Ovis aries: one gene and its partner. The protein of the gene in region 1 interacts with the protein of each later gene in a pairwise test. Links are inferred from orthologs where the notes say so. Each region holds a gene or a part of one and is shown on either strand. Other genes may lie near its edges.

The links.
Region 2: the proteins of TRIM63 (region 1) and PKM interact in a two-hybrid assay, tested with the Homo sapiens proteins (3 studies listed by BioGRID and IntAct). The link is inferred for Ovis aries from reciprocal best matches to the Homo sapiens genes TRIM63 and PKM.

The regions. Positions count from the first base shown.
Region 1 is NC_056055.1:240,762,787-240,766,402, reverse strand, and holds part of TRIM63 (E3 ubiquitin-protein ligase TRIM63), read right to left. Parts: intron 1,980-3,616; coding exon 1,811-1,979; intron 812-1,810; coding exon 716-811; intron 1-715. UniProt on the Homo sapiens protein: E3 ubiquitin ligase. Mediates the ubiquitination and subsequent proteasomal degradation of CKM, GMEB1 and HIBADH.
Region 2 is NC_056060.1:19,006,358-19,010,680, forward strand, and holds the start of PKM (pyruvate kinase PKM), read right to left. Parts: upstream 2,867-4,323; 5' UTR 2,792-2,866; intron 1-2,791. UniProt on the Homo sapiens protein: Catalyzes the final rate-limiting step of glycolysis by mediating the transfer of a phosphoryl group from phosphoenolpyruvate (PEP) to ADP, generating ATP.

The sequences.
Region 1 (3,616 bases):
TACCTGTAAACTGGGTATAATAGCAGCATCTCATTAGACTGGGGGCCCCTCGTAGATAATAACATCCTTCTTCCTTCTCTGAACCTATACTCACACAACTCTATCCATCAGAAATACACTGATCACTCCCAACCCCCCATGTCATTCCCAGGTCCCCACCTCAAGGGGATATGAAAAATCATGGATGCTTTTGCAGAAATAGAAAAGGGTCCTCTGCCTCTACAGTCTTGCTCCTCAGAGTGTGGTCCATGGACAAGCAACTTGGGCAAATCCTGGGAGCTTGTTAGAAAAGCACAATCTCATGCCTCCTTCTAGACCTACTGAATCAGAACTTGAATTCTAACAAAATCTCAGGGTGATTTCAAGTTTCCCATTAAAGTCTGAGAAGCTTTAGTGTACAGCACACTGGAGAACAATGCTCTAAGAACTACTAGTTCCCTGAATAAATGCTGGGAATGATTGAAGGGGATACTGCCTGAAGTCAGGGACCTGGTCTGCCTTCCTCGCCACCCCATCCTCAGCATCTTTGGCAGAGCCTGGTATCCAGCTGTCCTCAAGAAGCTTTTGTGAGTGAATGCATAAATGGATTAGTCATTCCCTCCCCAACCATCCCTGTGTGAACACTCCAGGCCCAGGCTCCATGGGGAAGCCACCCCAGAGACCAGGTTGCCCTGGGAGGCCTCGAACACCCAGGCCCAGCTATGCTCCCCCTCACCTTGGTCACTCGACAGGAGTCCTCCAGCTGAGTGATGATGGTCTGCACACGGTCATTCCCTGCCACCAGCATGGAGATACAGTTACTCAGCTCAGTCTAGATGGGAGGGACGGTGGGGGAACAGGAGAGGAGAGACAAAAATAGTCTCAGGGCCCACCCTCATGGGAGTGGCAGCAACACAGCACCCTCACTCCCCTCTCTGCTAGAAAGAAAATCTTTCTGGGGCGCAGCTCAGGTCCAGAGCAGAGAACACCGGAGAGACACTGCATCCCCCATATCACAGTGGAGGCACAGAGAGGGGACGTGAGCTGCCCCAAATGCACAGCAGTGTGCTGGCCAAGGAGGGGCTTGTTTCTGGGAATGAAAGGATCCAGAAAAAAAAAAAAAAGGTTGGAGAATTCTAGAAGAGAAGATCAAGGGAAGAGAGGAAGGAGGGGAGGAAAGAGTAAAGAAAAGGGTTATTGTTGCTTAGCCACTAAGTCGTGTCTGACTCTTTTGCGATCCTAGGGACTGTAACCCACCAGACTCCTCTGTCCATGGGATTTCCCAGGCAAGAAAACTGGAGTGGGTTGCCATTCCCTTCTCCAGGAGATCTTCCCAGCCCAGGGATTGAATCTGTGTCTCATGGATTGGTAGGTGAATTCTTTACCACTGAGTCACCTTGGAAGCCACAGCTTACTGTATGTACAGGGTGGTGGGGCTCTCGCAGGCCCAGGGACCCAGGGAGAAGGCTGCCTCTTGCTGCAGGGGGATCTGGGGAGCGGGGACCAGCACAGGAAGGGGCAGCAGGGGCCCAAACGACACTGGATTATAGAAGTCATGGCCTGAGAGGACCCGGGTGACCTGGCCCTGAGATCTGGTCTCTCCCTTGGGGCCGCACCCAGGTGCCCTCAACCGGCTCTAAGTATAACTCATGAGCTCAGCTTGCCATCTCCCCAAGGAAGGCAAGGGCAGTTCTCCCTGTGGCCCAGGACGTCCCTCCAGGGGGACTATTCCTGAAAGGCCGGCTCAGCAGATCTATGGGGATCAAGTCCACATCCTGAATCATCTGTCCAGCAGGCTTGGGCTTGGGGTGGGAGTCACTCAGGCCAGTACCTTCTGTCCCTGGAAGACACTCTGCAGGGGGGCCACCTCGCAGGCCTTGTGGGCTCCGAACACCTTGCACATGGAGCACGTGGGCACCTCGCACGTGAGGCAGTAGATGTTGATTTTCTCATCTTCATGCTCCTTGCACATGGGGTGGCTGCCCTTCTGCAGCGGCCGGCTGAAGTGGAGAAGAGTCATCAGTCACGAGGCGGGGTCTGAAATCCCTGTCTTCCCCTGCAGCCCCAGGAGCCCCCCACCCCACTCCATATCTACAACCCGAGCTCTCAGAGGTTGTCTGTCCTGAATCCTTTTCTTTTCATTCTCTGAGGGCCCGGAACCAGGGAAGCCAGTGACACCAAGACTAGGATTCAAACTCCAGTGATGGAGTTGGCCCAGGCCTGGCTAGTGCAGGACCTGGAAAAAGTTGTAGGATCCCAGAGTCATTTTGAGACATTCTGGAAAAGAGGAAACTGGGTCCCAGAAAGGTGAATGGACTTGCCCAAGGTCGCCCAGCAAGTCAGGGCAGGGGAGGCTAAGGTTCATTTGTTCTAATTATAGTCCCTAGGCTCTTGGTTACAGCAGGTTGGGCTTCCAACAAAGCAATTTATATTCATGGCCTCACCGAATTCTATATTTAATCCACCAGACTGTAATCTCTGTCAAAGCAGGGAAACTTGCCTGTAGTCTTCAGCCCTAAATCTGCAGTGTACAGTGCCTGACATGGAGAAGGCGGTGATTAAATAGAGTGGGAAGAATACATCAGTAAGCATGCCATGATGGTGTACCAAGGCTCTGAGAAGGAGGTGGTATGTGTGCCCCAAGTCACTCAGTGAAAGCAGAGGCAGCCCAGGGCCATCCAATGGCCCAGCACAAGCCTCAATTTCCAACCTGAGAGTCTTTCCAGGATCCAGAGTTGCTTCTTTCTCTTTCTTCCCAAACACACACTCTTAGGATAACTTTCTCCCTTTGTCTCTCTCCTCTTAGGGCCTCGGGTTCTCTCACGGTCACTTCCTCCCTGAGATTCAATTTTTTGAGTCTAGGTTTTACGGCCCTGGCTAACTCTACGCTCATCTAGAATCAACAGTAGCGTCTACGTCATCTCTGATTTCCCAGCCCCTTACACAGCAGTGTGCTCACTTAGTCCTGTCTGACTCTTTGCAACCCCATGGACTGTAGCCCACCAGGCTCCGCTGTCTGTGGATTGCTCCAGTCAAGAATACCAGAATGGGTTGCCATTTCCTTCTCCAGGAGATCTTTCCAACCCAGGGACTGAACCCATATCTCCTGTGTCTCCTGCATTGACAAGCAGAGTCTTTACCACTGAGCAATGGCAGGCAGGTCATAAATGGTGACTATCCCCCATCATGTCAGTGCCTCACCTCCAAACAGCCCTGCATGACTGATCACACCCAGGGCATTACTGTCCCCTCAAGATCTTAAATAAGCTCCTTTCCAGACTTGTCTTCCCAGGGTCCCCCATGCTGGCAGGGCTCTTCCTTTGCCACCTGTCTCTGCCCTCTGGGAAGGGGGCCCTGGGGTGAGAGCAGGTGCAGAGCTGAGGCATGATCCTGCGGTCTGGTGCTGTGTCCCCCGTCATCCCAGATGCCCATCCTCCCAACCCCCGGCACCAGCGTCAGGGTTCAAGTCCACACTGTTCTGCCGCTTACTCATGGTGACCTTGGACAAGTGATTTCACCTCTCTGAGCCCTGGTTTCACCCCCAAGCTACTGAGATCATGGCAGGAGTTCTCCGCAGTGAATGTGCAGTGCCTGGCATGGAGCAGAACCTCAACAACTCTCGCCATCATTCAGTTCT
Region 2 (4,323 bases), on another chromosome or scaffold:
GGGGTGCAGACTATCACTGGGGCCTGAGGCTCTGCCACGTGGCAATTAAGCACTGTCCAGAGAGCCTGGGGGCCTCCACTATCGTCACCTAGCTGAGGTGCTCTTAACTGGGAGGAATGCATACTTCACTATTTGACTCACTGAAAGGGGAGAGGGGATTCTTAAGCCTGCAAAGACGACAGTGGTTTCCCCACTCACCCAACGAAGACAGTTCTCTTAAAAGCGGAAAAATTCAAAGGTTGAGTCATCTTCCCTACATCCTCCCCCACCCCACCCCCAACACAGATCTGGTGATGTTACATACTCCTCCCCTCAGAAAAGCTCCCCCTGCATTCCCAACAGCATCCTCAGGCAACCTGAGGGTGAATTATTTGCTAACAATGCTGTAGAGTCCCGACCTAGAGCCTCCTCTACACCCCAGGGAGTGGCCACACCCTGCAGACAGCAAACAAGGAGCTACTGTCCTTTGCCTCTTATCTTAATCTCACACCAGCTGGCTGAGCAAATCCCAGAATGCTACCTGGAGTAGGTGCCAATAGAACCTGAAGATTTTAGTTTTAGGTTTCCAAGTTTGTTTCTAATCTTATAGCCAAAAGCTATAATACCAAAGGCTGAAAGCCATCTCCCTTCTTGCCTTCCTTTGGCTGGAGGACCAAAAAGCCCCTGTTGCAAGTGGAGAGTAGCAAGGTAACATTGTTAGTTACTTTGCCAACACTGTAGCAGGATTCCTGAGCGACTGGTTTCTAGATCTCTGGTATTTACATACAGCCTGACTCCCAAAGATGAACTATGACCGTTTCGGGATGGCAGCAAGAAGAGGAGCGCTCGAGTTCAATTATAGATGAAGTCATTGGGCTCAGTGACCAAAAGAATACATCTGGAGGCATCGCACCAGAGATTAGACACTGCACCCTGTATAGACACTCAATATGTATCTATGTTTAAGTATGTATATAGCGACCCACCCTTTCAACACCCAAGATGAAAATAGTTACAATTTTCACATGGGAAACAGGTCCTGAGGCTGAATTCCCCCTATTATTCCTATCAGTATGTAATGAGTTAAACCTGATTCTGAAAGCCTGTTTTCAACTTCCCACTGCCTCTGTCCGTCATGTCTGGACCTCAGTTATCAGGCTCATTTGTATGGGGGAGGGTCAGTGTCCCGGGTTTGAAGAACATAGATAAGAAGACAAGAGATGCCAACCCATTACTGAGTCTTCAAATAATCTTCAGACTGGAAGGTGCTTTTCCGCTTCATCACACCCCGTGTGATGCCACCTGGTGAGGCCTCCTAAACCCCGACAGGAAGTGCGTACCCTCCACGTGTGGAAGCCCGCGTGTACCTTCTTCACGGCACTTATCAGTGGTAACTTTTACATTCGTTTCCTAATCGGACTGAGCTCTGTGGGCTAGGACGATTTTAGTCAATCTGGTCTGGTCTCCACAGCCCTCCCCCAAACAACTCTTTATACGAGTTTTTAATGAATGAGCGTGTGTACGTGGCACCAAGCTCTTGATATATTTCTACTCTCCTCAACCCGCGGCCTCCGCGCTCTACAATCGGGCGCATCTGTTAGGCAACGCTGTTAAGTAACGTGAAGCACAGGCAGGGAGCCAGGTGAGTGCCTCGAACTCGAGGAGGCCTCTGAGCAGCATCCAGAAGCTTGTCGGGCCGGAGATGATGCTTGGTCGGTAACGGGCCCGAGGGTCAGAGTTTCCTGAAGCCGAGGAGCGGGCGCGGCAGGGCGGGTCCGGCGCCGCTACGTGCAGCCCCGCCTCGGCGGGATGGAGCCCGGGGCACCGCCCCCACCCCCAACGCCCCCCGGAGCAAGCGGAGCGCTGCGGCCGCTCTATCGTATTCTGGGCGGCACAAAACAGGAACGCGCCACTGGGCAGCCACCCTTTCTTCCTCTGCAGCGGGTTAGACCAAGGGTTACGTAACCCTCTAACTGCGCCTCCGGCCGCCACTGCATCCATCTCCGGGCCGCCTGGGAGCCAGCCTGCCCATCCGCAGACCAATGCACTTCGGGACTGACCCCGGAACTCCAGCCCCGGGCTGGGGAACTACGATGGAGAAGGGGGGGCAGGAGATGGGAGGCCGAGGGGCGGGGACGGAGAGCAGGCGGACGTGACCAGAACAGAGGGGGAGGGGCGAGGAGGCTGGTGGCGCGAAGGAAGGTGCGCAGGAGAGGGATGCGCTGGAGCGGACGTGACCAGAGAGGCGGGGGAGGGGCGGGAGCCAGCGCGTGAATGAGGGTAGGTACTAGAAGGGGACAGCAGCTGAATGGAGGAGGAACAGGGGAGCGGAGCTTGGGGAGTTTCAAGGAGAAGTTACAAAGAAAGCATCAGAATGAGGGGGACACGGACAGGTTGAAAACAAGAAGCGAGTATTAAGGATGATGGGAAAGGGACGGGCATAGGAGCAGAGTGGAAACGGGGGAGACTGACGCATGAAAGGAAACTATCAAATTAGGAGAATAAAGGGAGGAAGAGGAGAGCGAGACCAGGTCGAAGAGGGAGGAATAGGGAGGTGAGAATGGGACCAGAATGGGGATGGGAGGTCAGGGACTGGGGCAGGAAAGGGGCTGGCTGACCCGTCTGCCTTCGGAAGAAGCGGGAGCTGGGGGCTTTGAAGGAGATCCTAGGCACAAGCAGCCTTTCTCCTCTTTTCTGATCCCAACCGGGTGAGCCCAAGATGCCCCGGACCCTGCGCCATCCTGGGTCCGCAGGCGGGCCAGCATTCCGCACTGCCCCGGGAGACGATGGCCCAGTCTCTCCCCACGCTCACCTCCGACGTGCTCCGGCTCGGGATGCGCTGCTACTGCACACAAGTCCGGAGGCTCGCGACGCGTCGCTCCAATGCGGAGATCCGCTGCCTTAGCCTCAAGGTTATCCCGACTGTGGGCCGCCGCAATCCCTCCGCCGCCCCGCCTCCCACCCAATCCTGGCTCCCGGCTCTCGGGGCCCCGCCCCTCCGCGTCCTCGCCGGGCAGTCACCTTCAGTAGGAAGTGCGGCGGAGGCGGAACGGGGGAATCAGGTTGCCCTTTGAGGGAGGACTACATTCCGTGGCGGAAGGACACGAAAAATAAAACTCGCAGCATTGAGGTTCTGCAGAGCCCAATGGGGAAGCGGCGAGACGGGAGGACCCGCCCTCGGAGCTCTGGAGACCTCCCTCCCAGACCCCCCGGCGCCCAGGCCACCTGTTGCGGCCAACTTGGAATACTGGACCAGGTCTTCTCTTGACCCTTGGCCCAGGCCACCCCAGCTGAGTGGCTCTGGCCTACCCAGATAGTGCCCAGATTTATGGGTCCCCGGGCAGCAATCCCCTGGCCCGGGTGCCCGCCCCAGCGCACGCCCCGAAGACTGAACCGAACAGTCAGGGGTGGGGTGGGGGATGTAGACTCATGGGATGGTTGGAGGTCCCGGCCGCCTTAGGAGGGGCTCCTACACTGGAACGGGGGTAGAACAGGGGAGGGCGGGGAGAACGCGGGAGGGCGGAGTGTGCTAGGAGGGGGAGCGCGAGGCCCTTTTGTTCTTAGGGTTTAGAACAAAGGACAAGTAGAGGCCATGTGAAGACTTTAGTAGGGACTGGAGTCCTGCGGTGCGAGTGCCTGAGAGTAGAAAGTGAATAGAAGGTATTAATATTAGTGCAGGACTGACCATATCAGGAAATGTCATAAAGTTAGATCTCATAATCTCTGCCAAAGTAAGAATTTCTGTTTTCAACCTTGTGTATTTTAATCAATATTGTTGGAGCTTTTCTTGTATTTTTCCTTAAGGCATTTTCTCATTTCCTAGTGATCACAGCAGTTATCTAAGAAGCAACTGTTAACTCTTGCCTTCTTTCCGCCAAATTTTGAGCAGATACAATGTTAAAAATCGTGAATACTATTAGGTTCTTTCCTTTTCCTGGAAAAAAGAGACCAATGGGTGTGACCCACTCAGGCAGACACCCTGCCTGCAGCTGAATCACAGGCCTTCATTATGCTTTCCTGTTAGCTCAGATAAGCTGACAAAAAGTAACAACATTAATTTGTTTAAGATAAAATATTTTAATCTCTTCTATAAGCTGTTTCTGGTTCCCTCAGTTGCAGAGAGGGAGTGAATGCTTCGTTACTGAGGTGGTAAGAGCTCATGAAGTTGCTGAGAAGGAAAAAAAAAAAATCATGCTTTACCAGAGGGAATCAGATTCTTCTCTATCCAGAGAAAGAGGGTGGCTTAAGTGGCCATATTGGCCCATCAGCTAAAGATGAACAAAGTACAGGGTTGAACAACACTAGAGGGGCAACGTTCTGGCCAGTGCTGGACTACATTGCATT